Linked DNA regions of Alligator mississippiensis. The protein of the gene in region 1 purifies or fractionates together with the protein of each later gene. This does not show direct contact. Links are inferred from orthologs where the notes say so. Each region holds a gene or a part of one and is shown in the gene's direction. Other genes may lie near its edges.

Evidence for each region.
Region 2: the proteins of RBM8A (region 1) and UPF2 purify together in Homo sapiens (co-immunoprecipitation; 6 studies listed by BioGRID and IntAct, with this or other methods). This does not show direct contact. The link is inferred for Alligator mississippiensis from reciprocal best matches to the Homo sapiens genes RBM8A and UPF2.
Region 3: the proteins of RBM8A (region 1) and NCBP3 purify together in Homo sapiens (co-immunoprecipitation; 3 studies listed by BioGRID and IntAct, with this or other methods). This does not show direct contact. The link is inferred for Alligator mississippiensis from reciprocal best matches to the Homo sapiens genes RBM8A and NCBP3.
Region 4: the proteins of RBM8A (region 1) and PYM1 purify together in Homo sapiens (co-immunoprecipitation; 11 studies listed by BioGRID and IntAct, counting the BioPlex papers as one, with this or other methods). This does not show direct contact. The link is inferred for Alligator mississippiensis from reciprocal best matches to the Homo sapiens genes RBM8A and PYM1.

The regions. Positions count from the first base shown.
Region 1 is NC_081838.1:17,854,068-17,861,411, forward strand, and holds the start of RBM8A (RNA-binding protein 8A), read left to right. Parts: upstream 1-4,337; 5' UTR 4,338-4,404; coding exon 4,405-4,471; intron 4,472-4,713; coding exon 4,714-4,773; intron 4,774-5,375; coding exon 5,376-5,453; intron 5,454-6,203; coding exon 6,204-6,340; intron 6,341-7,045; coding exon 7,046-7,182; intron 7,183-7,344.
Region 2 is NC_081827.1:13,570,550-13,577,800, reverse strand, and holds the start of UPF2 (regulator of nonsense transcripts 2), read left to right. Parts: upstream 1-4,247; 5' UTR 4,248-4,402; intron 4,403-7,251. Other genes in the region: DHTKD1 (2-oxoadipate dehydrogenase complex component E1), read right to left, coding at 928-1,139, 2,058-2,213, 3,865-4,018. UniProt on the Homo sapiens protein: Involved in nonsense-mediated decay (NMD) of mRNAs containing premature stop codons by associating with the nuclear exon junction complex (EJC).
Region 3 is NC_081837.1:9,611,184-9,618,348, forward strand, and holds the start of NCBP3 (nuclear cap-binding protein subunit 3), read left to right. Parts: upstream 1-4,159; 5' UTR 4,160-4,186; coding exon 4,187-4,333; intron 4,334-5,540; coding exon 5,541-5,606; intron 5,607-7,165. UniProt on the Homo sapiens protein: Associates with NCBP1/CBP80 to form an alternative cap-binding complex (CBC) which plays a key role in mRNA export. NCBP3 serves as adapter protein linking the capped RNAs (m7GpppG-capped RNA) to NCBP1/CBP80.
Region 4 is NC_081838.1:6,906,826-6,913,560, reverse strand, and holds PYM1 (partner of Y14 and mago), read left to right. Parts: upstream 1-3,945; 5' UTR 3,946-4,141; coding exon 4,142-4,172; intron 4,173-4,701; coding exon 4,702-4,795; intron 4,796-5,408; coding exon 5,409-5,916; 3' UTR 5,917-6,231; downstream 6,232-6,735. UniProt on the Homo sapiens protein: Key regulator of the exon junction complex (EJC), a multiprotein complex that associates immediately upstream of the exon-exon junction on mRNAs and serves as a positional landmark for the intron exon structure of genes and directs post-transcriptional processes in the cytoplasm such as mRNA export, nonsense-mediated mRNA decay (NMD) or translation.

The DNA.
Region 1 (7,344 bases):
ACAGGATTATATTCTGAGTAGTAACCACTTCCTGGTGCCATGTGAAAATGAAGTCAGGCCATCTTTTGAAATAAATACACTCGAACAGTCAGTTTTCTGTGCTCAAAGGCCAAGTTGCGTTAATGAGACAGCTCTGTGGTAGAAGCAGCATATAAAAATGCAACAAACAGTAGCTTGTTTATGGAGCAATGCATGTGCATTCTCCTCTGTGCAGTGACTCTTCCTCGGGCAAGTAAGATATCATTAGTTTTGTATGGGCTACTGAACTCTCATGGCAGTTGTGTGAGTAGGCTTTAAATAGAGCCTCCTCAACAGCCTGTGACTCCCTCTTCTGAGACTCAAATGCTAGTTCAGTCTTTGTTTAGCAAGGGCTTGAATCAGGCAGACTCTTAGCATCTGCCTGTGCCAGCACTCCCAGCTGGGGGAAGATATCAGACCACACTACATGCCCTTTTTCTCCTTGCAAAAATACGATTCCCTGGGTAGGACCAGTTCAGCTTCATTATAAATGAGCATCTGACACTTTGTTCCTCTTGTTTTAATTAAAACAGATCTTGGAACCTCATGAGTCTCAAGGGATGGATCAGCAGCCAGGAGATCCCCACGGCTCCAGTGCTGTTAATAGCCTAGCTCTCGGCATCCAAAGTCCCTTCCAATTTTCCCAGCATAGAGTCTGAATCAAAAACCAGAGCAAGATAAATTGCCTTTCACGCACTGCCACCACATCTTCCATTGTATGTCCAAGTTCAGTACAACACGTGCATTTTGTATGTATAATTTTTATACAATAAAACACTAGATTTTTTGGGTAGTTTGTCTTTTTTCTTCCTTTCCTAATGAGAGATGCAGGACTGATGATCTGTTCAGTGTGCTGTTGGCTCTGATGTGCTGCTATCCCTCGTAACAAAACGTACGAGTGTCTGTTGCTTTCACAAAAACCCCTGGATAGCTGGTGTCAAAATTGGCACCTCCCTGCTTGAAATATAGGTGTGCCATGGCGGGTATGAAAAGCTGCTTAGTTTCTGGTCTGTTACTCCGGGGTTTAGGCAGGCTGGCCTGAACTGAACCTGTCTGTGCTGATGGCATGCCTTTTCTTTGCTAACCCCTGCAGGAGCCTTCCTGTACCTGAAAAGGGAACTGAAATGGAGAAACCACCTGTGCTGATGGAGAAAACACCTGCCCATGTGGTGCTACCCTCACTCAGCCCTAAGCTGCTTCTCTGCTGCTGTTTATGGCCTCTCCTGGGGGAACTAGCTGTTTGATGCATCACAAACCTGAGAACAATGCCTCCCTCCACCCCTTCTCTCCCTAAGAATTACCACAGTTGCCTGCAAATTAGTCCCTGCTGGTCCCAGCATCTGGTTATATCAGACAGGATTTATTGACCCATCTTTTGCAGCATAGCCCTGCTGATGTTGCACAAATTCTGCCTTGCTGCCTTAACTAATGTGGGGGGGAGGCAAGGGTGAGGATCAGATCTTGCACTGTTCCTCCCAATACTCCTTTTAAAAGGCTTTTCAGCATGGGAAGGCTAATAACAGTATTGCCTTTGGGTGAATGTGCTGTCTCTCCTTAAACTGTTATGAAAAGCGGAGCTACCAGCTCTTGGAGGTGGGGAAGGCAACAGTTGCTTTGTAGCATGCTGACTGGCAGGTCTTTAAGGAAAGAAATAGGTCTCTTCCCTCTTCGTTGCGGAAGGGGAGATGAAGACGTCGCGTACTGTACACAGTTTGAATGGACAAGAACAGGAACAGCTGCACCGGCCGGATGTTTGTAGAACCAAATTTCCCATTAGCGGAAGCCCGTTATAATCCTCTTCAGCTGAGCACGGAGCTAGCTGAAAATAACAGTTTGGTCCTGCTGTTCACGCTTGCTCCTGCACTGGTAGCTCCCATCGGACCATCTCCCAGATTGTAGGAAAGGTGGGGAAGCTGAGGCACAGAAATAAAGGAATAATCTTGTCAACTGAGGCAGAAGCAGAGCACTCGTGAGAGATTCTGCTGCCTTGAATTTGGGAAACCAGCAGAGACTCCTGAGAGGGGAAGAGTGAAATTCTGGCCTGACTTGGAAGGAATAAGGATGCAGTGGTGGAAAAGGAGATGGCTGTGCTCATGGGTACCGGTGACTGAGTACAGCTGTAGCAGCATCTGCTTATAAAGGGGGCTGGAAGGCATTATGAAGAGCCAGATTGGGGGGTGGGGGGGGTGTAAGCTGTTTTCTTTTCAGGTCATACCTGCTCTGCACTTTGCCTCATGTTTCACACTCTAGCTGTAACTCCTTCGCTCCAAGGCCTGCGGGAAGGACATGTGCAGAAGACGCTATACAGAATAAAATGGTGTCATTCTTTTTTTTCTTCTTTTTCGGGGGTGGGCAGGACGAAATGCCTATTTCACGTGCCTGCCTGCTGACTAGAAGAACATGAAGAGCTGCTCCAAGTGAGAGACACAGTTTCCACCCTTTTCAAAAAATAAAATGAGAAGGAACATAAAGTTTTGTTCTTCCACCTAGCATGACTTCTTTTAAAATCTTGAAGTGGGGGGGGAATGGCACTGGGCTGTTTCACTAGCAAACACAGCATCTTGCGCACGCAAAGCAGTTGCTGTCCAAAACCACTTGGCATCCATAAGCTCCTTGAGAAATTATTGCCGCTTGGCAGTTCCCCCCGCATATTTTATAGCTACGACGAGATCTCCATGCTTCTCCATTTGGAAAAGAGCTTAAAAAAAACCCAACCCATTCTGACTAAGGCTAAAGTAACATACTGGATGCCATAGTATAGATGGCGATTTCTACCCCCAGCAAATAGGGGTGAGGATGTTGTCTTTGGATGAGTGTTGGCTGGCTCAGGTGAAATGGGTTTGTGGGGTCTCACTAAACAGGTGCCCCTACAACGAAACCGGTAGGCAAGGAGGAAGGAACAACCTTCCTACTTGATCTAGCTGGGGATGGAGCTGCTTGGAGCAGGAGGTTGGATTAGATGTGACCTCCTGAGGTCTAACCCCCATTTTCTACGATCCGACAAGTAGTGGTGATCCCTGTCCAGGAAGACTGCTTGTGTAGGGGGATCATCCAGGACCAGCCTGTTCAAGGGAAGCTTTCCTTGATAGCACCACGACTGCCAACCCTCCTCGCTGGACGGGGAGAAGCTGCCGGAGTTATGTTAAGGATCCTCTCTTCGATCCCGGTCCAACCGTGCTGTTTTCTGGGTGTCGGGAGGGGGTGGCAACTTCGTGCTGCCCTCCTCAATGTGGGTTTTTGTCCATCCCCAAGCCCCGGCTCCTGGAGCCTGGATTACTTGATTCATCTTCCTTCCCTTAGACCAGTGCTTCTCCACCTGGCACCTGTTCTCGTCCGGGCACCTCGCTACGCCCATTGCACTCGCTCAGCGTTGTGCGAGGAGCGAGCTTTGCAACCATCGTCTCTGCCAGCTGAGATGCAGACCTGCCGAACCCGCCTGGTTTCACGAAACATCGCTTGGAGAGGCCGCAGAGATCTCCTGCCACCTTTGGGGGGAAAGGAGTGAGATCTCTGTGCTGCGACGGTGGAAAAGTCACAGGGCTGAGTCCCGTCTTGCACAATTGTCTGCACTGACTGTCACGTCTGCCTCCCGCGGGGGCATTGGGGAACCGGGCGGCTCACCAGCGCTTATCCTCTCCTCTCCCCTCGTTAGACGCCAAGCCCCCTCAGAAAGTGCCGTCTCTGCTTTCACTTGTTTTTTCAACTACAGAGAAACCCTCAAGTGAATCCAAGATTGGGGGACAGACCCAGGCCTCCTATTGGAGATCTCCAGCTGTGTCCTAGGACGCGCCTAACTGTGCGAACGGTGATGTGGCGCCCCCAGCCCGGCTGAGACTCGCCGCCTTGGGGCACCACTAGAACGCTGGGCTCCCTTTGCTCAGGGGACTCTGGGGGCACCAAGGGGCTCCCCTGAGGTGGTGCTTTCTTAAAGGAGCCTCATGTTTAGGGCCAACCCCAGTAGGGGGGGCAGCTTGTTGTCTAATAGGGGCTAATCCCCCCCATTGGAGGGTGCAGGCCAGGTCCTGAGGGGTGCAGCCAGAGCCTGGCACCCTGCCGTGCCTGTGGCTGGGCTGTCTCAGGCAGGGAGGGGAACCCACCACTAAGGGAGACAAAAAGGCCTAAACTGGGCCCTGAGTGGTTGCTATGGAGACCCCAAGATGGCGCCCGCCGCCAGCCTGACGCCCTTCTCCAAATGGCGGCGCTCGCCACCTAGCAGCGTCGTTGCGTCATCACGCTTCTCCCCTGCCTCATTCCCTTCTCAAGATGGAGGCCCCTAGCAGGGGTTTCCTGTCCATAGGGTGAGGACACTTCCGCCCTGCTTCCCGGCATGCCTTGCAGCACCGGGGCAACTTCTGGTCGGCAGCGGTGGCGGCGGAGCGCGGCAAGATGGCGGACGTGTTGGATCTGCACGAGGCGGGCGGCGAGGACTTCGCCATGGACGAGGATGGTGACGGTACCGCGGGGTGACCCGGATGTCCCCCCCCCCCCTCTGGCCGGTCCCCCCCGGTTCCGGGTCCCATCGGGCCTCCCCCGCCCCCCGGCCTGGGGCTGGCCTAGTCCCGGTTCTGGGTCCCGCTTCAAGCCTTTTCCCGCCGGTTCTGGCCCCGCCCCGCCCCGCCCCGCCCGGTCTCCTGCCCGCGGGGCTCGGTTTGGTTCTCTCCGGCCCCCGCGCTGACCGCCCGGTCTTGCCCGCAGAAAGCATCCACAAGCTGAAGGAGAAGGCCAAGAAGCGCAAAGGCAGAGGCTTCGGCTCAGGTAAGGACGTGGCTGCAACCCCCGCGGCTCTGTCCGTCTGCGCGCGGGGATCCCAGTGCTCCCAGAGCCTCCAGTGCAGCCTCCAGACTGGTGTCCGCTTGTTGCTGGCAGGGCAGAGCGGGGGAGGGGCCGGGGGTGTTGCGATGCCTGGGGCCTTTCAGCTGTGAGCAGATCCCTCTGTCTCCCGCGTCCGGCTGTCCAGACCCTTCCCTACCTGCAGCAAACGTGCGCAGGGTACTCGGTTGTCTGCCCCGCGGCCCTTGGTCCTGCTTGGAGCAGGGGGTTTCCCGGTCGTTAGGGGCTGGAAGGGACCTTACAGATCGGGTCCAGCCCCCCTGCACGTGGGCAGCGAAGACCGCTGGGATCAGATGACCTCAGGGTTGGACTAGATGTGATCTCCTGAGGTCTCTTCCCGCCCTTATTTTCTATGATCCTATGAATACATGTTTGTCTGCATCACTACTGTTACAGGCTCTTTGGGGTAGGGTGTCTGAAAACCGGTGTCTACAAGCTCGGGTGTCTGGTGGTGGGGTGGTCGCGCAGGAAACCGTCACTAGTTGTCTGAAATGATCCACGTTTTGCTTTTCTCCCCCTGTGCCCAGAGGAAGGCTCCAGGGCCCGAGTGCGTGAGGACTATGACAGCGTGGAGCAGGACGGGGACGAGCCGGGGCCTCAGAGATGTGAGTACAGCTGGGGATTTGTTCTGGGGTCTTTGGTGGGTGAAGTGTCACACGAGGTTGCTTTAAGGAAGGGCGGAGCCAAGTCTTTCATTGAAGTGGGGTCCGGTGGGTAAAATGCTGGATAGGGACCAAGGGACTGCTGGGGTTATTTTACCCCAGCAGTCTTTTCTGCCCAGAGCAGGGGGGCTAGACCTGATGATCTCACAAGGTCCCTTTCAGCGCTGAACTTCTGTGAATCTGAGATGTGGGTTTTATTCGCAGTGCTGCCACTGGCTGGTTCTGTGACCCTAGTGTCTCAGCTTCCTCCCTTGTAAAGTTGTGAAAGATAAGAAGCATTCTCTGAGAGCCAGGTATCGCTGCTGTCACCATTGATACAACCACACACAGAGCAACTTGTCTGTGCTCGTGGGGTGTTGGGATTGTTCTAGGTTAGGATTCAGGTTCATTGCAGGGGTCTGGGGGGCAGAAACTTTTCCTGCTGCTCTGCAGCCATCCTCATTAAGGAGTAAATGAAGAACTGCTGTTGCCAGGGGCATCGAGCACCTGCATTCACTACCCCTCCATTCCTCCTCCCATAGCTCCACTCCAGAGTCTTCAGGCCAATAGGAGATTACAAGCTACCCAGGCTGAGATGTGGTGGGAGTAGGGATGTCCTTCCTTGGTGTGGCTGTGAAGCTGTGCACGTGCAAGTTCACTAGGGCTCTCAGACCAGGCATCTGGGTAATGAGCGCTGCTTCCCTTTGCCCGCAGCGGTGGAGGGCTGGATTCTCTTCGTCACGGGAGTCCACGAGGAAGCCACAGAAGAGGACATTCACGACAAATTTGCTGAGTATGGCGAGATCAAGAACATCCACTTGAACCTGGACAGGCGGACGGGCTACCTGAAGGTAGGGGGCTGGTAGGGAGAGGGCTGGCTGGGGTCTCTAGACAGGTGTGGTCACGTCTTTGCCCTGCCACAGACTCTGTATCTGTGCCACATAGTTTAATCTCTGTGCTTCAGGTTCTTGCCTGTATGATGTGGGGGCGGTGGGCCTTTGAGGTGCACAGCTTCCTCGGACACGGAGGCCAAAGCTGCACTTAAACGGGCAGCTGCCCCTTAATGTTTCATACAAATGATCTGGGCAGGGTGAGGAGACTGTGTGTGAGCACAGGGATGCCGGGGTTCTGATCTCAGCCTGAGGTGCGGTGGGTGCTGCTGGTAACAGCAAGGGACTCCTGGCTTCTTTCATGGGATCCCTGTGAGATCCCTATGGTTTCACAGCTGAATCCCAGATGGGATCATATCACAGAGAAGTGCTAGGGAGGCTTCATACTAAGAAAGAGCCTTGAAGAGGGGTTGGGTACTAATATGGATCCCTGTCCCCCACCTCTCTGGGAAGCTCCTGGTTCAAGTGAGCAGTTCAGTTCAGGGCAATAGCTGGAAGGGCAGGGCAGGGCAGCAGCCTTGCCTTTCAGGCTTGTATTCCTGACACTGGTGAACAAGTGGAGAGGGGTTGTGGGAATTGGAAGCCCAGGGGTCTACTGCTGGGAGCCAAGGTGAGCGTGGAGTGAGGGTGACTGGGTGCTGATGCCACTGTCCTTGCCTCCTGCAGGGATACACACTTGTTGAGTATGAGACCTACAAGGAGGCTCAGGCGGCCATGGAAGGGCTGAACGGGCAGGAGCTGATGGGGCAGCCCATTAGCGTGGACTGGTGCTTTGTTCGGGGACCACCCAAAGGGAAGAGAAGGTGAGAAGGGGCCACATCCTGGCAGGGGATCAAGTTGCCCAGCAGGAGCCAAATGGGTCCAGGATTGTCTCTGGAGCAGGGAGCACACACTCAATGGGATAGATCAGGTCTCTGCCTCTCTCGCTTGGACCTGAGTCCGGGCACAGTTCGTCTGTGTCCTTG
Region 2 (7,251 bases), on another chromosome or scaffold:
AAAACCACCCACAAAAATTTACAATATGAAAAATATTTGGCTGGTGTCCCGTAGTACAGCCAGCCCACACACTCAGTCAGGGAGCGTTTCACTGCCCTACACAGGGAACGAGGCAAGAATGACTTTGCCAAATGCTCTGCCAGCACTAGGTGTGTAGGCAGCTCCTCGGGACAACACTGCCAGAACCCTGATCTCACTCCCATTCGCCCCTCTAAACAAAGGCAGGTTTCCTTCCTTCCCAAACTGATCCCTATTGAAAGGGACTAGGACTAGAAGGTGACAAGGAGTCAGAGAATGACTGAAAACAGAAGCAGAAGCTGAGAAGGAAATACAGAGCAGTGCAACAGCATCACATACGTCTTAAGTTCCTTTGAGGGCAATGCCCAGTTGTTTCTGCAGCCTCCACGTCTAATACAAAAACATCGGGCCAGCAACTTTGGAGTATTTCCTCTTTTTTCAGAATATTCACAAGTTGCCCTACTGGCTTTCCTAGAATGTCAAATGTTTTGCAGAACGTCGCCTAAAAGCACTGCATGCTGGGTTTCTTTTTTAAAATATGCTGTGCTATGCCATTCCCTCTTCTGGTTGAAGAGACCCCTTTGGTTTGTCACTGCCCCGAAATATTTTCCCCTGCTAAAAAACACTTTCTGAAACACTCAACTCGTAGCTGCAGAGCCTTGCGGTTTCTTTGAGGAATCCCTGTTCTTGTGCCTTCTGCAATTGTCTCCAGTTAGAATTATTTCATTTCTGTGCTACAACCTTCAGACAAAACCCGTATCTTGGCAATCAGAAATAAATGCATGTAGATCATAACCTTTTTTGGACCAAAGGCTTCTTTTTCCCCTTTTGATCTGGTGTTTGGACAATGGACATTCTAGTCCATGGCTAGATCGCTATGTACCAATGCCATAAAGACATGCAGCGTACCTGGGACTCCAACATCAACTTGGACAAATGCTTTTTCTCTTCGGTTGTAAATGCTTCTTGTTTTAGCTCCTCAAACCTTTTAGCAAACCAGTGTCTCTCCTCTGGGCTTGGCAGCTGGCTCGTCTCTATAGAAATGTGCCCGCAGTATACGTGATCAAGGTAAGCCAGCACATCCTCTAGGGACACTTCTTCCTTCCCCATGTTCAGAAGTCCTGGTCAAAAAGAGATTGGAAGGCCCATAGGGATTAGCCACTCTAATGGCTAGCAGTCTAAGGACACTGCTAACTAGGAACTACAGTTTGAAAGCACAGTTTCACTTTCTGCCCCTCTGTTCTTCATTTGAAGCCCAAGGTCTCAAGAAACTTCAGAATTACCATTCCTAATACTTGGGACTTAGATGGTACTTTTCATTCTCCTTTGCAGTGTTTGAAATATTACTCCAAACTCTTCCAGGGCAGGGTCTGGGTTTTGGCATCTTGTGTTTGTACTGTACCGAGCATTGTGAAGCTCAGAGATGATCAAGGTCCTTTGACATTCATTTGTATTGTGCAATGCTAATTTCCCAGATGGACAGACAAGACATGCAGAAGTTCTGGGAGTTGCTCAAGACCATGTTAAGTTAGTGGACAGAGCTAGGAATAGAAGTCAGATCTCATGACTTCCACTCCAGTACCGCAGTCACTGCTGTAATACTGTACTATCATTAAGTAACCTGGGTAGCTATCTGAACAGTTACAGGGAATACTTACGTGATTTCAGGAAACATGATAACCTAAGTTTGCAGATGTCATAGACAGAATAAAAGAATGTAAATAGTGTAAAATCAGTCAAGAGAAATTATTTTTCATTTGGCATTACATCACTGAACAGCTACCTAACACATGGCTATGCCATTCAGGACAGAGCACGTAATCAGTCTGTTGTGGTGAGATTGCTATATTACCTCATGCTCATTTAGCAGCAGAGAAGAGAAAATTCAATGGTTTTATTTGACAGATTTCAAACATAACTCAAGTGAGCTGGGCACTGGAACCTGTCTACCCACACAATGCTGTGCCCCATGAAGATACCCGACCTAACTTGGGACACTGCATTATGCTGGGGAGACGTGCTCTGTGGTACAGACTTACCTGTGATGTTGAAAGGCCCTTGAAGAACTTCCAACAGCATTCGAATTTCAGGTACCATATCCAACACCGCTTGACCAGCAAACAAAGGGTTAATTTTGGCGGCTTTGTGGCCGTGCTCATGGTACGCCCCTACTAAACGGGCAAGACCGTGGTCAACTAAAGGTACAAAAGGGAAAAAAACAGAGAACGCTGTTAGCACGTACACTCTTCACTCATTCACCCTTGAGACGATGCTGCATCTTCCCCCACTGACATGCATCCAAAATGCCAAGATCACTTCCTGAGCTCAGCTCTTTAACCCATATCACTATTCTTCATTCACCCCCTCCACTTCTTCCCCATAGACACACACTTATGGCTTGTCTTCGCTTTCAAGGTGCTTCACAACCTGTCTTCACCCCATCTATCCTCTCCCATTGAATATGGAGAAGGTGACTCCCGCCTCCACCCGCCTCACTGTGCTCACCTCGCATGCCCAACTCAATAGATTTCCATGCTTTATCACATAGTACACCAAAGGGGGACTCCCATTAAATATCTGAAAAGCCACCTTGTTCCCTTATTTCAAATCTCTCCAGCTATGATGAGCACAAGAAACTCAACATGAGACCCCTGATGCGCAGTGACCCCTGCCCATCATGCTGAGCAGTACCACCTCACTGCTCCCAGCGGCTGCCTGCATCCCTCTGTCGTCCCCTGTAAACTTTCTGAGGCCGGGACCATACGGCTGCATGTTTCCTAACACCAGTCCCCACAGAAGCACCTTCTAGAGCAGGGGTAGGCAACCCCTGGCACGGGCACCAGAGTGTGGCATGCAAAGGCATTTTGCTTAGCACGTGCACCTCAGGGCAGAGAGTGGGGAAGGAGCCAGGGCTGCGCTGCCACAAGTGGACATAGTCATCTGCTTGCATTCTCCATCTGGGGACAGAGATATGCCTGTACCCTCTGGGCCATGTCTCTCCAGCCCTACGCAAATGTGACTGGCTGGGGGCTGTGAAGGGTAGACATAGATGAACCACCCAGGGTGAGGAGTTAATCACCTCACTTGCACAATCCCTCTCACTCCGCACGTGTTGCATGACTACATCACCCCAGCACTTAGCTCCGGGATCACCACCAAGGGGGACCCAAGCTGCAGCCAGCCCACGCGTCTCCAAGACGCTGCTTAGGGTTTTGCTTTGTTTTGAAGTCCCAAGCACCAGGGGCAGAGGAAACCTCAGGGGCCTGTGCTCTTCTGGCAGCAAATCATCACAGATTCACAGAAGTTTAGAGCTAGAAGGGACCTTGTGAGCTCATCCTGCTCTGGGCAGGAAAGACTGCTGGGGTCAAATAACCCCCGCCGGAGCAGCTGTGCTTGCAGTGGGGCCTGGCAACCCCGTCTGGTGCCCAGCGCATATCAGTCTGATGTCTGTCCCTGCCACCGGTCCAGCTGCAGCAGAGCCTCTCACAGCCCCCCGCCTTCTGCCCCGGGCACGCCAGCGTCCTACAAGTCCAAGCTGCAGGTGTTTTAGGCACTCTGCCCAAAAACGTTGCTGAGCTCAGCCACCTTATCCCTTCCCCGGGGCAACAGGTGCCAGGCACCCCGGCTCCGCGTGGAGGTCAGGGCTCAGCCCAGCTGGCCCCGGCCATCACCCACCAGCCACTCCGGGGCTTTGGACTTTGAACCCTGATGTCACCAGCCATGCTGCGCACCCAGACCCCCATCACCAAGGCAGCCGGGACGCACTGACCCCCCCACCCCGGCAGACACACAGACCCAGACCCCCCCCAGACAGACAGACAGGCAGACCCCCCCAGACAGACGGACCGGCCCCTGTCGCCCTATCTGGGCGGGCGGCGCGGGCGCTGTCGGGGCGGCGCGGGCGGTAGCCGTAGACGCCGCGCTCGGTGCGGTAGCAGCGCCCCGGGGCCCCCAGCGCCGCGCGCCACGGCCCGGCCCGACCCGCCGCCGCCAGGGCCATCGCGCTGCGCTCCGCTCCGCTCCGCTCCACGCCGCCAGAGGGCGGGGCCGGACAACGCCCCCAGCTCGGATTGGACCGCCCGCTCGGGGGCGGGGCCGAGCGGGGCGGCCCCGCCCCCTGCTGGGGGAGACGGCGGGCGGGCGGGCGGGCGAGGAGACGTGGGGTGTCGCCCCCTCCCTGCGCTGGGCCAAATAAACAGTGATTTGAGGACCAGGTTGCAAGGGTTTGGGCGTGAGGTGGGGCCTTGCTAGGCTCAGTCAACTGCTGGTTTATATGGAAACCACCTGAAATGTATCATCACCCCGACAGGCCAAGATGAGGAGAAAACGTACCTGGTTAGTCAGCTGTGGGAAACGTAGCCCAGAACTATAGGTTAGCCCTCAGGTGAGGTGAAGTAACAACAAAAGGTCTGTTTTGTAGCATCCGAGCTTTCCTCGGCTTTGGCTTCTTCCCCCTTGGTGCGCGCGCTGGGCGGGATGATGTCTTGAGGACCGTATCCTTTCTACTGGGCTGAATAGTGGTGCCGGGATGAAGTAAGCCAAGACAATCCAATTGTTGCATCTAAAACTGATGGTAATTTGGGGCCAGGAGGCGATGCTCCTGGGTTTCTGGCACATCGCACGTCCCCTTTATATTTCTCCATCTGTAAAATTCGGATAATTTGTCCTCGATGCTGCCTTGCTTGTGTTCGCCCCTACTCTGATAGCGGTATAGCTGCTGAGAGATTTGTCCGCTGTATTTGCGGCGAGAACGCTAGGTGATTGATTATCTGTTGTCTCCCTCCGCTTTTTGAGCAGGTACTTTGCTGCTTTCTCTTCTTCCTATTAATTTCCAGGTGTTTTTGGTATCCACTTTAAGTGGAAATGGATTATTTAAACAACTCCTAGTCTCAGTGATGACTTCTAAAATGTACTTGAAATGTTTAAAAATGATAGATGCCAAATGATAGATGCCATTTTCTTAATTAAGAATGTTTCATCCAACATGAACAATTCTATTTTGACACGCGTCTGCACAGATGAATGGAAGTGGTCAGAGAATTCACAGTTAATGGCTATTTAGGTGCAAGCGATCATTGCTTTATTCCATTTATTATGCATAATCATAATAAATACCCAACCAGCAAGGTATATACTTGGTGCTTCAAAAAGGCAAATATCACCCATTTGAAAACAATTTTGAACTAGATGAGCCATGAACAAGAATTTGAACAGAAAAACTTGACCGATCGTTTAAAATGAAGAACTAGATGTCCAGTAGTTACAATCCAGAAAGAATGCTATGCTCATTAAAACATGCCTGACTTACAGGGAAAAGAAATAGAAAAACAAGGCAAAGTTTTCTCTCTGATTTTGTAAAATGCATTTTCTATTTTTATGAGATTACAAGTTTGTTTAATGAACTTTACATGTACTCAGGCCAGTTCCATACGACAAGGTTTTCCTGGCACAGAAATGTTGCACGAAACTAAAAGTTACATCTCCTAATTGATAAAACTAAGTCAGTAAAACCCTTGATACAGATGTAACTATGCCTACAAAAGAGTGCTTATCTTGGCTTGGCTTATTTTATGTACACAGGAAGAAGGTATAGATATGTTAGCAGAAAACCTCTGTGTCCTCAAGGTGGCTCTGCAGACAGAGCTATGCTGGCACAGCTGTAGAGGCGGAAGCTCTTTAAGTACAGAGAAGCCCTTAAAGTTTTGTAGGGCATTTGACTTGGTAACGCATGACATTTTTCTTTAAGAAACCAGAGCACTACAAAATCAATGTGGCGCATATTACATTGATTAAAAATGGCTAACTAGTTATTCTCAAAAATAAAATTAAATCATCAGGTGGGTGTATTCCTGATGAAGGCTTGCACAGATGAGATTTTGGCTAACTAATATTTTATCACTAACTGGGAAGGAAACATAAAATAATTACTAATAAAGTTGAAGTGAGTGGTAAAGAATGAAAAGGACAGGTCACCCTGGATCTGGATCTCTTGCCATGCTGGATGCAAGCAAACAATATTAACAGAGTCAAATGTCAGATCAGGCACCTAGGAACAGAGAGCTCAAGTCAGAAAAGTGGGAAGATCCTAGCTTTATCCTAAGAAGCAGTGGCTCTGAAAAGGACTTGGGTGTTACAATAGATAATCAGCTGAACAAGAACCCTTTGTAGTATGTTTTTGATAAAAAGGCTATGCATTTTGTGTGTACACGAGAATATAGAATAGGAGGGGAAGGTTACAGTAGCTCTGTATTTGGCAGTGGGGGTGTCTCTTGGTGGCGTCTCCTGAGACCAGATCTTGTGTTTACACTTCAAGAAGGGCATTGAAAAATTGGAGACTATTCAGAGGAGACCCACAAGGATGATTAGATGATTAAATATACTTTCTGGTGAGAAACTAAAAAAGAGCTTGATTTATGCAGTTTCTGAAAGGGAAAGTTATGACTTGATCACAATACATACAGCACCTGCATTGAAACAAAGGACTGCAAGGACTTTCTAGAGCAGAGACCAGTCCCTGTGTTTGCAGGCAACCATTTATCAAAAATGGACACTTCTGCCCTTCTTACACACCACAAGAACCCTATGAAATAAAAAGTAACAACAGACCCAAGTAAAGAGCAGGAGAGACAAAGGAACCACCCTGATACTGCATTGGCAGAAAATTAGTTGGGTAAAAAGATGCTCAGATGATCCTCTCAAAAGGTTCAAGGCCTGCGCCACAGACAAGGGCAGGAGAACCACAGTGGTCCTGGCCAATCTGACCTGGGAGAAAATTGCTGCCTGCCCCCAAATCTGGCAATATTTGACTCATGCATGATCCAGGCACATCAAATAGACACTTAAAGGCTTATAAATACTCCTAGTTTCTGGAGCACCAGATCACCCTAGCCAGATCCTCACCCTTTGCAGTGGCCCAGGTGCAGTGCTTCAGAGGAAGACAAATAAACTAGTAGAAGCTAGTAACGTGTTCATAGGGAAAAAAGTTCCTCTTGGCTCCCAGCCATCAACCAGCAGAAGCCTTAAGTCCAGGGGCAGGCAAGATATGGCCCACGGGCCAGATCTGGGAGCACAGAGCCTGCCCGGCCCAATGGCACATAGACTGGGAATTTATCTTGAGTTATTACAATCACCTCTATACACACGATGCAAACATGTGCAAGTCAGGACAAAAATATTTTTCAAAATAAAATTAAAATGTGTTATGGTAGATGTTTGAGTTTTAGTATATGGTGT
Region 3 (7,165 bases), on another chromosome or scaffold:
TGAGTAGCCAGTCTAATCTAATTTCTCCCTCAGCTCTCTCTTTCTGTCTCCATCTCTCGAACTTGGAAAGTTAAGTTTGCGTGGACAGGCTGACATGCAAATTCTTGCCATGTCACAGGTAAATCTAACTTTTTTTCCCAGCTGTTCAGCTGGTCTAATAAAAGATATCACATCTACCCAAAGGACCTTGCCTGCCTATGTCCTTAGACCAACATGGCTACAACCAAAAATCCATCTACCTCTTGTAGGCACTTCTGCTGCCCTATTGCTGAATCTTTAATATACTCGCCATCACAACGTCCATGGAAGGTAGGGGAGTGCTCTTATCCCCATTTCACAGTGGAAAATGAGACGTGGAGAGGTCAAGGGCATTTGGATATTACTCCAATGCCATACCCAGGAGCACTGCTGTGACCCACGCCACATGTCCTCACTCCCATGCCGCAGCACCGACTCCCAAGAGGAAACAGAGCCACCCATGAGCTTGCACTGCTGAGGCTCACTGTCTCAGGTGTACCGAGTAGCGTGGGTATGAGTAGTCTGTCACAGAGCGGGGCCTTCTCTTGTGGCCTAAGTCCCTACCCACTAGACCATCCTTCCTCCTGAGAGCCGGCCATTCTTTCAGTTTTGAGAGAGGTTGCCTTACTTTGGGTGGGACGAGTACAGCCCAGGTAGCAGCTGATCCATATCTGCTCCCAAACCCTTCAGCCCACTTCATTTTGGTTTGTCCTCCCAGTGCAGAAACGCCTGTCTGAGCGGCAGCCGCGCTCATTCTTGGTGCAATTCACTGCATTTGAAGGGCAGCCATGCCAGGGTCCTGCACTGAGTCATCAGGACCAGGCAGGACGACAAAGCAGCCTTGCAGTGACTAACACGTCCCTGTTCTGGTCACGGAGTCACGGGAGCTTTATGTTCTGTGCCACAAGAGCCAAACTGTTCACCTCTGAAACTCAATTCAGATCATTACCAAAAGACTCCTTCCATCAAGTGCATTCAAACTCCTTTTGTTACCCCATGGCTCCCTTTGCCCCCTGCTTTTAGCTTAATCCAGACACTATACCTGAGGCTTTGGGCATTTAGATTACACTTTACTTTTCATTCTGTAGCAAAGACATTTTATTGCAAGAGCTCCCTCTGGTGAAAAACTATAGCACCAGCACTTCCTCACATGAGCACACAGAAAAGCAGGGAGACAAGTCAAAGCCTCTTAGGACAAGTTTTGGGTTTGCAGCAGTTGTTGTTTTTATTAGTTTCCCCTTTAACAAAACCCTTAAAGGTAACAAACACAGAGATGGGAGAATTTTTTTTCAATTTAGTCCTCGTTAAAATGTTCAGAGTCTGGGAATGCAAAACTCTTGGTTCAGAAAGGATAAGTTTTATTAGATCAACTCGGTTGTCTCACACCAATACGGCTACCAAATACATCCCAGATTCTGGGAAGCCACTCAGTGCCATTTAGCAAGGTTTCATGCACTAACAATTCACTTAAACACGCCCCAGCAAATGAACACACACGTGACATACTAGTAAGTATCTGGCAGTTGTTGGAGAGAGGTGTGACTTAGCCTACTCCTGGTAAAGGTGCCCTAAATCCAAACCAAACCCCGGCTGCAAAACCCTGGTGAATTTGGAACAGTTTAGACCCGGGCTGGTAGGAGGTTTGCAAAAGATCCCAAGGTTTCGGCACGGTTCAGAAACATGTGGCTTATTTCTATTCACTCTGCAGGCTGGAGCAGCATGCCGTCACGCCGCTGCCTTGTAACCAGCTCAGGGAATGCAGCAGCTTTCCATTATGTAAATAGGGGTCCTTTCATTTAAAGCAAAAGCCAAAGAACAACTGAATCAAAACTCAAAACAGCAGTGATTCAGAGCTCAGCAGCGACTCTCATCCAACAAGTACACAACAGAAGTGAGCGTAACAATTCCCCGGAGGGAGATAACGGACCATGTACAGAGCAGGAATACAGTCAGAAAAGGGAGAGACAGGCCCCTGGTATAAAGAACCCCTGCCACTTTTCAGGCCAGAAGATCATGGAGCTGATGAGCTCCATGAGAAACTTCTTCCTGCTCTCCTGTGGTCAAATAAACTATCTTGCTACCAGCGGCTCTGGACTTCATATTTTTAACTGTTCTTTCTCAGGAGTCTTTACACAAAAACAAATTGCAGCCTCCCTTTCCAAAGGCCTACAGTCACTTATTCAGTACTGATACCACATACGCAGAATCTGCCTGGAGTCCACACGCAAGCACGAACGCCGTGTTTGCAAACCCGATGCACACAGGATAAATTGTAAAGACTCCACGCATGCCAGTCGGCCGACACGGTGGGTCTCTCTCACGGAAAGCATGAAAACGCACAACACGAGCAAGAGCAAGGGCTTCCGAAGAAACAAATCTCCAGGGCGTCAGAAGAAACAGAAATGTTACGCGCGTGAAAGTTCACGGAGGAGGAGGGAAAATAAGATCTCAGCTTTCCTACCCTTCTGGTCTTGAGGCCATGAGCAAAACACGATTCGATCTCGGCGGCAGCTGCACGACCGAACCATTGAATCAGCAGCACGTAGCGCTGAGCTCCCCAGCACGGTTGCGAGTGCAAGGTTGAGCTCCCCAGCACGGTCGTGAGTGAGAGGCTGAGCTTCCCAGCATGGTCATGAGTGCGAGGTCAAGCTCCCCAGCACAGTCGTGAGTGCGAGGTCGAGCTCCCCAGCACAGTTGCAAGTGCGAGGTTGAGCTTCCCAGCACGGTCATGAGTGTGAGGTCGAGCTCCCCAGCATGGTCGTGAGTATGAGGTCAATCTCCCCAGCACGGTTGCAAGTGTGAGGTTGAGCTTCCCAGCACGGTCGTGAGTGCAAGGTCGAGCTCCCCAGCATGGTCGTGAGTGCGAGGTCGAGCTCCCCAGTACAGTTGCAAGTGCGAGGTTGAGCTCCCCAGCATGGTTGTGAGTGCAAGGTCGAACTCCCTGGCATGGTTGTGTGTGCGAGATCGAGCTCCCCGGCACGGTTGTGAACGCAAGGTCGAGCTCCCCAGCATGGTTGCGAGTGAGAGGTTGAGCTCCCCAGCACGGTTGTGAGTGCAAGGTCGAACTCCCTGGCATGGTCGTGAGTTTGAGATTGAGCTCCCCGGCACGGTCGTGAGTGCGAGGTTGAGCCCCCCAGCATGGTCGCGAGTGCGAAGTTGAGCTCCCCAGCACGGCTGCGAGTGCGAGGTCGAACTCCCTGGCATGGTCGTGTGTGAGAGATCGAGCTCCCCGGCACGGTCATGAGTGCGAGGTTGAGCCCCCCAGCACGGTCGCGAGTGCGAAGTTGAGCTCCCCAGCACGGTTGCGAGTGCGAGGTCGAACTCCCTGGCATGGTTGTGTGTGCGAGATCGAGCTCCCCGGAACGGTCATGAGTGCGAGGTTGAGCCCCCCAGCATGGTCGCGAGTGCGAGGTTGAGCTCCCCAGCATGGTCGCGAGTGCGAGGTCGAGCTCCCCGGCACGGTCGTGAGTGCAAGGCACAAACTGGGGGGGCCTCGAGCGTGTTCAAGCACCTGCGTCTCCTACGCGGGAGCTCAGCAGGTTTGGGTCTGGACGGGGGCCCGATCGAACGCCCGTCGAAGTCAAGGAGAGTCGTTTTATCGATTTCACGTGGCTTCGGTTCAGTTCCCGAAGTTTTAGCGCAGGTTGGGGAAAGTCCAGCTATGCAGCAAGACACATCGCACGCAACCGCACGGGGGGGGGAAGGGATGAGCACATTCGGAGATTTATCGTCGTTCGAGAATCGGGACTCGGCTTCGAAACGGCAGGTGCTTCGGTTCAACCGCTCCGGCCTTCGGTGCCGGCGAGGAATGGGCAGCACCAAGAAACGAGGCGTTGGCGCCCCACACTAGAGCGCAGCCTGGACTCGCTGCCCTGAGTCGTGTCAGTGCGAGGGGGCAGACACGGGCCCGAGCGGCGGGAACGAGGCGCCGCCTGCACTCCGCCGCAGGGAGCACCACAGGCGGGAGGACCTACAGAGGCGCTCTATCCCCCGACCTCTATGACGCTGGGGACGCTCTGTCCCCACAGCGCGCGCCTCTATGCTCGTGGCGGGGCGGGGGGACGCTCTGTCCGCCAATCCCGTCTCGGCGTGCCTGGAGGCCGGCGGCGACGACGCTCTAGCCGGCGCGCCTCGCTGGCCGTGAGCGGAGGGCGGGCCTGGCGGGGCGATGGCGGCCGTGCGGGGCCTGCGGATCTCGGTGAAGGCGGCGGAGGCGGAGGCGGAGGCGCGCGGCGCGGAGCCCGAGCCCATGGAGGTGGAGGAGGGGGAGCTGGAGGCCATCCCCGTGCGGCGCTCGCTGCGGGAGCTGCTCCCGGTACGGGCCGCGGGGGGGGCGGGGGGCTCCGGCCTGCGCTGCGCTCCCCTCCCGGGGCACCGCGGACTCGTCCGCGCCTCGAGACCGGGGGGCGGGGTCGCCGGTGCTCGGGGGGAGGCACTGCGTCACTGACCCCCTTCCCCTGCCCAATCAGCTGCTCTGCGCTCTGCTCCCTGCCCTGGGCTTCCCGCCCAATCAGCTGCTCTGCTCTCTGCCCGATCCGCTGCTCTGCTGTCTGCTTCCTGTCCTGGGCTTCCTGCCCAATCAGCTGCTCTGCTCCCTGCCCTGGGTTCTCTGCCCGATCCGCTGCTCTGCACTCTGCTTCCTGCCCTACCTGTTGATCTGCACTCTGCTCCCTGCCCTGGGCTTGCTGCCTGATCTGTGGCTCTGCGCTCTGCTCCCTGCCCTGCCTGTCACTGGCTTCCCTGCTCCCTCCCTGGTCGGCCCTTGTCCCTCGTGGCCCGCATGCCCTAGGGCTTGCCACCCCTGGGTTAGCGCAGCGCTTTGTGAATGCTGCTTTACTAACCGATAGGAATGAAAGTCCTTTTTATTTTTCCCCTCCAGGTCACCGTGTCATTTATGGGTTTCTTTGGTCATAATAGGCTTGTTCAGAAGAGAAGCGGGGCGGTGACTGACGCTGAGGTTTTGGGGAACATGGTTCAAGCAGCGGTGGCAAGAGAATGAATGCTAGTTTTAGTGCAAAAGTTGACTTTGTGATGACTTTTTTTCCCCTTTGATAACTAAGTACTGAAAACGTATCCTTTTTAATGTAATCGGATTACATGAAGCCCGTTTGAGCGGTTGGAATTGGGTGGAAACCGTACTTGAGATGCCGCGGAAAAAAATCATGGAAATTAGAGACGGAAAAGATGTTTCATAATCACTTCCACTTCCTTGCTGTAGCAGAGTGAATTCCACCCTTGTGAATGCAGATATTTTAAAAGTAAATATCTAAGATGCTAAAATAGAGTGAATCTTTGCAAAAAAGTGTAATGATTTTTGATCCGTTCTGTTTGCTTGTAACTCCATTGACCCTGGTGAGAATTGTGCCTGTGTGGGTTGATGCCGCACTAGCTTGGAGTCAGGAGAATAAAAAGGGATGTGTTTTTTCTTTCAGAGCTGACTACTAGGTCAGATCTTATTAGTTTAGCAAGCTTGCTGCGTTTAGCCGTCATCCAGCATTTGTTGTAATTTTGCTTTATTGTAGGACACTAGCAGAAGATACGAAAACAAAGCTGGAAGTTTCATTACAGGAATAGACGTCACCTCCAAGGTAATATTGTCAAGTGTGATCCCTTTTTAAAATTTTGTATTACTTAATTGAATAGGAAGCATTTTCCTATGCTTCCTAAGGTGGTGGCTTTCAGGGGCCCGTAGTCCCTTTTTAACAGCCAGAGATAAGACAATAAGATTCTAGAGCTTTTTCACATGCTGTAATGACTCTTTTATACTCCAGCATTTGTAATTTACAGAATCTAGAAAGTAGACAAGCTTTTTGTGGAAACCCTGAGTCAGGCATCTTTTTTTTATGGTTGTATAGTGAAAGATTTAGCTGTGGGCAAAGCTTTTGTACTCCACCAAGAATGTCTAATACTGTTTCTAAAAGCTCTCTGCATTTGCCAAAAAACAAGGAGACTCTTATTGGAATTGCGGTGGTGCCACTCCACATCGCAATGCCCTTTGAATCAAGTCAGCTGAATTTTTCTTATTGTGCAAGTGACAAGGGAAAGCAAATGTTTGGCAGGAATACTGGGCTCCATTGGCTGGCGCTGTCTAAGGGCATTATTTTGTGGACCATTTACAGCTTAAACTTGCAGCTGGTCTCCTGGCTATGTGACATAATTTTAAAGCACTGGCACTTCCATATGATGCATCATTTCACCTTTTATCTGTGTAGTGCTCCAGTACCATTTAAGCCTTTATATCTTCAGAGCACTGCAAAATTTGAACCCCTGCAACAGCAGTGCTGATGCGTGAGTTATAGTCTCGTGTTGCAGTGGGAAAACCCAGAAGTTCGTGTTTAGGATTGAAAAACTTTTCTAGTTCCTAGTCACTACCTTCTTTGCGTTGGATGCTTGCAGTTCATTTAGACATTTAATGTTAAATTATCAAGGAAAAAAATCTTCCTACTTTGTTATATTCCTTAATGATATGCAACATTAATAACTGTGGGGAAAGAGAGGTGATTCTGTATAATGAGAAAAGTTTGACTTTTTAATCAGTTTTCAGAGATTTTCAAGGCAAATCTATCCTGAAATTATATCAATCAGGGCAATTCTTGCTTAAGCATTTGCTAACGTACTGAGTTGTATTTTAGTTCATGCCATTGAAAGCTGCTTAAAATGTCCTGTTAATATCCTATTAATTTGAATCGGTCCCAAGAAAGAAAACTAATGTTTCTCTTAAGAGATTGTATAAGATCTTTTGTATCCCTGCTGCTTAGATACTATGCTAATGAGCTCCCCAGAAATAGCTTGGATTACCAGCCAGAACAAGATTTCTATTGTTGGCTCTCCAGTTAGTATTGGAGAAGTGCTAACATAAAAAATATTCCCAAAAGCCATATGTTGCCAATTTTTTTTCAATTGCCTGAGAGCTCTGTGTGATCTGTATCATCTCACTTGTTTCTGTTTTTCCATGAAAGCAAACCAGTAATCTTAAAATAGAAGTTTAGCGTAGCCAGATGGAAGAAACCTTTGCTTTAAGAGAGGGCTTCATGAACTTTGGCTTTGTGTACCTATTTTGCTGATAGATAAACATGGTTATCATAGAGCTTAAAAACTTGCAGAGTTGCAGAGTGAGTGGCAGACAAAGCATCATGATTCTTATTAT
Region 4 (6,735 bases), about 11 Mb from region 1:
CAGTTTGCTCTTGAAGGTGTTCAATGTGGGCGCTTGAACCACCTCCGGTGGCAGGCTGTTCCAGACCTTGGGGGCTCGGACAGTAAAGAAATTCTTCCTTATGTCCAGCCGGAAACGGTCTTGTAGTAGTTTATGACCATTCGACCTAGTCGTCATCCCTTGGGGCGCTCTGGTGAACAAACGTTCCCCCAGATACTGGTGGTCACCCCTGATAAACTTATAGGTGGCCATCAGATCACCCCTGAGCCTGCGCTTTTCCAGGCTAAAGAGCCCCAGGGCTCTCAGCCTGTCATCGTAGGATCTGCTTGTATGGTGTGAGCATGTGTGTGCCACACCTGGATTAGTGTACGTGCCACGCCTGGATCAGCGTGTGCATGCCCATGTGAGTGTGCATTCTCCGGCACTGCCTGCTGGCACACCTCGGCGGCTCAGAGCCAGGCTGGCGCAGCTGGGCCCCCGCACAGGCCCCGGCAGGCCAGGGCGGCTCCGCACGCGGGCGGCAAGACAGCAGAGCTGGAGGCAGCGAACGCCATGGGCCCTGTGGCGCCTCCTTCCCTCCTGCCCCCATGTGGCCCCCATGGCAGGAGGGGCAGTTGTGAGAAGGGGTGGGGGCTCAGGCCCTGCTGGCACCTGGACTGAGACCTGCCAGGTTTGTGCCACCCAAGGGCCAGGCTGTGACCTGTGTCCCCAGCACCAGGGCCACGGCATAGGTCTCTCTCTCCCAGGCCCAGGTGGTGGCAGGGAGGCCACACCGGGTCCCGGAGGCCGAGGTACCCCCGCCCATGGCAGGGCCCGGGGGCGGCCTTGGCGCCCGGAATTTCCCTGGCTGCAGCTGCGCGGGGCTGCGTGGGCGAGAGGTGCGAGCGCCGCCTCGTCTCATCTCCGCAGCAGCTACGAACGACGCGCCGCAGCCCCAGCCCCAGCCCCAGCCGCAGCCCCTCCCAGAGGCAGGCAGGGACCGGCCCAGGCCTCCTCTGGCAAGGGTGGCGGGGGAGGGGCTGCCCGCCTCCCTCCCCTCCCCGCCGGGCATACTGCCCCTGGAGGTGCCCGCGGAGCCGGAAGCCACAGAGCAACAAAGGCTGCTGCAGAGCCCGGGCCCCAGCTCCCGGGGCACCAGGCACTGTGTGGGCGTCTGCCGCGGGGCTGCACAGCTCTGCGTGTGTGCATGCTAGTGTGTGTGTGCAGGTATGTGTGAGCGCGTGCCTGTGCATGTGAGCGTGTGCACCTGTGTATATGTGACTGTATGTGTGCATGTACATGTCAGCATGTGTTGGTGTGTGGGCATGTGCATGTACGGGTGTTGTGCATGTGTGTACATGTAAGTGCATGTGTGCGAGTTCATGTGAGCTTGTGCATGTGAGTGTGTGCATATGTTTGTACATGTCAGTGTAGTGTGTGTGCATGTACGAACGTGCGTGGAAGTATACACACATGTACATGCATGTGTACCTGTGAGTGTATGTGTGCACATGTTTGCACATGTGGACATGCACAAGTGCATGCATCTGTACATGTGCGCATGTATATATATGTATGCATGCATGCAAGTGTGCATGTTCATGTATGCATACACGTGTAAGAGCGTGCACGTGTACATGTCCCACCTGCTCAGCTCCCAGCTCTCAGCTCCCAGTCCAGCCTGGCTGCCCAGCACCGGGGTGAATCAGCGCCACCGCGGGGCAAGGCGCCAGCACAGACTGGCAGTGCCGTTCCATGGATGCCAGCCCAGGGCAGGGTGGGGGGGCCCAAGGAGATGGGGCAGGAAAGTCAATGGGGACTGGGAGCACTGTGCTCATGGAGGGGGCACTGCATCCTTGGAGAAGAGGGGGTTGGGGCCCCTGCCTGGTTTGGCAGCCCACTCCTTGCACACGTGTGCATGTGCACAAACATGCATGCCCATGCATGGACCACGGAGAGCCAAGGGACAACTCGGACCCTTCCACTCCAGGAGACCCTCCCTGTGCTCCTGGTGGTACAGGGGCCATGATACAGGGCAGCCCCGCGTCTACCAGGCAAAGAACCCAGGAATCCTGCGTGCCAGCCGGGGGTCCAGGCTCCTCGAGGAGCTGGGGGGAGCAGCCCAGAGGCTTGGCTCTGCCCCTTCTGCTGTAGCCAGAGTAGCACCCCCGAGTCTGGACCCTAGCCTGGGCTGCAAGGCCCAACACAGCAGTCATGAGACAGAGCATGTGCCGGCCTTGTCTGGCTGGGCATCCAGGAGGTTGGCACCTTCCCCAGCGCCAGCCACAGACACAGACCCGTAGCCTGTTTCCCTCCCAAGTGGCCACTTTCTCTTTGCCTGCTTCCAGACTAACCACGGCCCTTTAGCGTTGACCGCAGGGCTGAGCCTTCCCCTGGCACACGGCACTTCCCCTGGTGCTGACGTGGCCAAAGGAGGCTGCAACCTCTGTGAAGCTGGTGCCTGTTCCCAGAGCTGCGCTTGTACATGGGGCTGGACCCTGTCCTGGCCTGGCGCTGTCCTTGGTGCAAACTAGAGCAGCCCTGGGGGGACTCTGGCTGCCTGGGGCTGCAGCAGGGACCTGCCACTGCCCAGGGCACTCTGCTCCCCGCTGACCAGGGGGGCTGCCCTGCCCCCCCCCCGAACCCTTGTATGACACGGATCCGCCCCAGGGCATCTGCAGGAGGGCAGGGAGGGCACTTGACCTCCCTGGGGACACAGGCTTTCCCCATGCGGCACCTCCCTGGCCACAACGGCTTCCCCCCGGCATCTCTCGCCCACATCAGCGGTCGCAGCTCCGGGGTTCCCTGCCCGCCGGGCACTTGCCTGGTAAACCTCAAGTCTCAGTTGATAAGGATCAGCTGCCGCAGCTCCACTGCACTGGAGGGGTGATGGGGGCCACACGACCGCCCTGGCTGCTCTGGGAGCGCTCGGCGTCTGGGCAGCTTGTCAGGGCCTGCTAAATGCCGGGCGCCGGTAAGGCCAGGCAGGCTGGCCTCCGCGAGAGCAGCACAGCTCGATAGCTCTGTGCCAGGGCAGGGGAAACAGCCTTTTCCTCCAGCGCCCGGCTCTACTCAGCGCTTCCTGCCCAGCTGCCGCAGGGCTGCGCCTGCCCGCAGGGAGCAGGAGCGCAGCATCCGCCTGCACTTGCAGTCACGGCAGCTGGGAGGCTGCTGGGCCTCGCCAGGGTCACGCTCCGGGGCAGGGGCCATGGCCTTGGCCCCAGGGTCAAGACCTGCCTTGCCTGGTGAGGCAGGCAGAAGCCCCCGGCCTGGCCTCAAGGGCTGCCCAGGCCACGCGCGGAGCCGCTTGATTGCCATGCCCGGGCAATTATTTTGGGCAGAGGGCTGCCTACTGAGTTTTGGCAAGCCATCGACAGGCAGCCCAGGGCAGATAAATATTAATTTTCTAAACTTTTTAGGGGCCCTGTGGGCTGGATAGAATAACCCGGCGGGCCACATCCAGCCTCCAGGCCACATTTTGCCCACCCCTGCCCTAGGGTCTCCCCATGGCAGCTAGGGGCCTGTGGGGTCAAGGGTCAGGGGTCCCCAGCTGGCAGGGGCAGGCAGTGGGAGGCCACCGGCGACCCCTGACCCCCAGGCCCTGGGGACCCGCTCTAAGGGGTCCCCATGGCAGCCCGGGGGCTCCCCAGGGAGTCCTGCTCCAGGTGGGGGGTCAAGGGCCAGAGGTTGCTGGCTGGCAGGGGCAGAGTTTGGGAAGCAGCCATTGACCCCCGACCCCCACCTGGGGCAGGACTCCCTGGGGAGCCCCCGGGCTGCCATGGGGACCTCTTAGAGCGGGTCCCCAGGGCCTGAGGGTCAGGGGTCGCCGGTGGCCTCCCACTGCCTGCCCCTGCCAGCCGGGGACCCCTGACCCTTGACCCTCCCCACCTGGGCTTTCTGGGGGTGGGGGCATGGTTGCCACGGAGACCCACAAGGCTATGTAGGGGGGCTGGTGTTTCGGGGGGGGGTTAGCTTAGGCCCTAGTGCATTCTGGGAACCCCTCTGGAGGCTCGCGGAGGCCCCGCCCCGCAGTGCCCGAGCGCGGGGAGCCCCCGAACACGCCCCTGGCCCTTTAAAAACAAAATGGCCACCCACTTCCCAGCCTATCTCCCCCCTTCGCCCCACCCACTTCTGCCGCTTCCGGGGCGGGGCCGCGCGGCCGGAAGTGGGTCGCGTTTCCAAGATGGCGACTCCCTATGTGACGGACGAGACCGGTGAGTGCGCGAGGCGCGGCCCCCCCACAGGTCCCGCCCGCCTCCCGGGCCGCACGGCACTCCCAGCTGCACTGCCCGCCTGGCCCCGCCCCCGGGCGCGGTGGGCCCCGCCCCTTCGCCTGGCCCCGCCCCCGCGCTGTGCGAGCCCCGCCCCCAGCCAAGCCCTCGCCCCCCCGGCCTCCAGTGGGTGGTATTGGCCCCCCCCCCCCCCCAGCCTGCCCCCCCGACCCGTGCTCCCCATCCCAGCCTGGCCCTCCTTTGACCTTTGTGGGCCTCCCCCAACTTGCCCCTGTGACTCCCTTGTCTTGGCTCCCTGTGATGTGTGACCCCCCCCAGCTCCCGGTCGTCACCCTGTGACCCCCCCCTCCCCTCAACCCTTGCAGGGAAGCAGAACTGTGATCTGGGGCTGGGGGGGGACACTGGCTAGAGGGAGTTGCCCAGGCTGGGGGGGGTGGGGGGGCTGCAGGGCTCCCATGAGCTGCTTTGGGGCTGGGCCCCCCCCCCCAGTAACACGTGTCCCGACGCGCAGGGAAGTACATCGCGTCCACGCAGCGCCCGGATGGCACCTGGCGGAAGCAGCGGCGGGTGAAGGAGGGCTACGTGCCGCAGGAGGAGGTGCCCGTGTAAGTAGAGCCCGGCTCTGCTCCCCGCACCTGGCACATCTCTCGCGGGCCCTGATTGTGGTTGAGCCCAGTTCCAAACAGGCGTCGGGTTTGTCTGCGCAAGCTCCACCGGCTTCGGCCCGTAGGCAAGGCCCCAGGTGTCGTCCTCCCTGGCCTGTGCCCGTGTCGGCGCCAGCACCCAGGGCTGGAGCTCTGTTTCATGGGGGCTCGGCTGTGCGGAGCCACCCGCGGGGGCTGCCTGTGCCCGCATCCCCCAAAGGGCTCAGGTCCTGGGGCCGGTGCTTGGCACTGCCCCTTCTGCGGGGCCGGCCAGGCAGGAGGGTTATTCCCAGAGCCATTCCCAATAGCTTGCTTGGCCTTGGTGGGGGGCTGGTGGGGACTCGGTGTGGAGCGGGGGTGCTCTGAGTGGTGTTGACGTGCAGAGCTGATTTGCTGCAGGTGCAGCTCCTGCTTCAGGCTGGAATTGGCTGGTGTTTAGTTGTCACCGCCAGCCGCTGCCCACCACGAGCCTGTGGGCACTGAGAGCCACCCTCCGGCAGACACAGCCCTAGTCAAGCTGGGGCCACGCAGCAGCGGAGGGAAGCAGAGCATTGATGGGTTTTATTCTGCACAGGTACGAGAACAAGTATGTGAAATTCTTCAAGAGCAAACCCGAGCTGCCTCCCGGGCTGAGCCCCGAGGCCAACGCGCAGCCCGGGCGGCCGGCGCCACGGGCCGAGAGCGGCGAGGTTGGGCTCTCTAAGACGGCCAAGAGGAACCTGAAGCGCAAGGAGAAGAGGAAGCAGCAGCAGGAGAAAGGGGAGAAGGACACAGATGAACTGATCCAGGTGCTGGAGAAGACCACACTCTCGGGGGGTGGTGCTGGGGACCGGGGCCTACCTGCCCCACCACAGCCGCTGGCCTGCGGTGCCAAGGCCCCCGGGGACGGGGAGGCCTTAGCCGCCGTGGCGGAGAAGACGAAGAAGATCAAAAACCTGCGGAAGAAGCTGCGGCAGGTGGAGGAGCTGCAGCAGCGTGTGGACTCTGGGGAGATCAAGCAGCCAAGCCGGGAGCAGCTGGAGAAGCTGGCACGGCGGAAAGCGCTGGAGGAGGAGCTCGAGGACTTGGAGCTGGACTTGTAGGGCCACAGGGCCCAGCCCGGCCTGGTGGCGTGGGGGCAGGCTCCCCTGGCGGGTGCGGGTGCAAGGGCCTGGCGCGGCTCTCTTGGGTGCTGTCTGATTTTTAAGAACAATTCTCCTGCCTCTCTCTGCGCTAGAGCTGGCCCCTCTCTGACTTCTCCGTCCTCGGTTATTGTATTGGGGGCCGGGGGGCGGAGCCTGACCCTGCCCCCCACCCTTCCACCCCTCCAATGTCTTGTGTTCTTGTTGCTCCGCGCCCGCCGCCTCCTTTCATTTTTAAAACTGATGCAATAATAAAATTGCAGTAGTGACGCGGCAGCTGGGCCAGTGCCGGTGTCCTTGCCTTGCTCCGTGGGGGCGGCTCTGGGTCCTGGCCGAGTCCCAAGCTCCTGACCTCCCACCTGAACACTGGATCTGGCCCCCATGAGGCAAGTGTTGCCCCTTCAGCCCCCACTCCACAACCCCAAAGTCTTCCGGCCCAGCCAGAACTGCAGCTGTCCCTCGGAGCTGGCCTGGCCGCAGGGTTTCTCCTGTAGCCATGGGGGTTGTGACACCCGCCAGCTTCAGTATTACTGCCTGAGTCTCAGGGACTTGATGCTGTCCCCTCCAAGAGCCTGGGCTGGCAGCAGCAGTGCCCCTTTGTCCCCGGATGCCCCCAAGGGGAAGTCTCCAGGACACGGAGTGGCTCTGCCAGCTGGTTCCAGCAGGTGGCGCTGTTAAGCTGGGAGGGGGAGGAGGTGAGACTGGCCCCTGGGGTCTGGCTGCCTGAGGCAGGGCTACCTCTCCCCAGCTGATGTGGAGGCAGGGGCTTGGCTTTCGGAC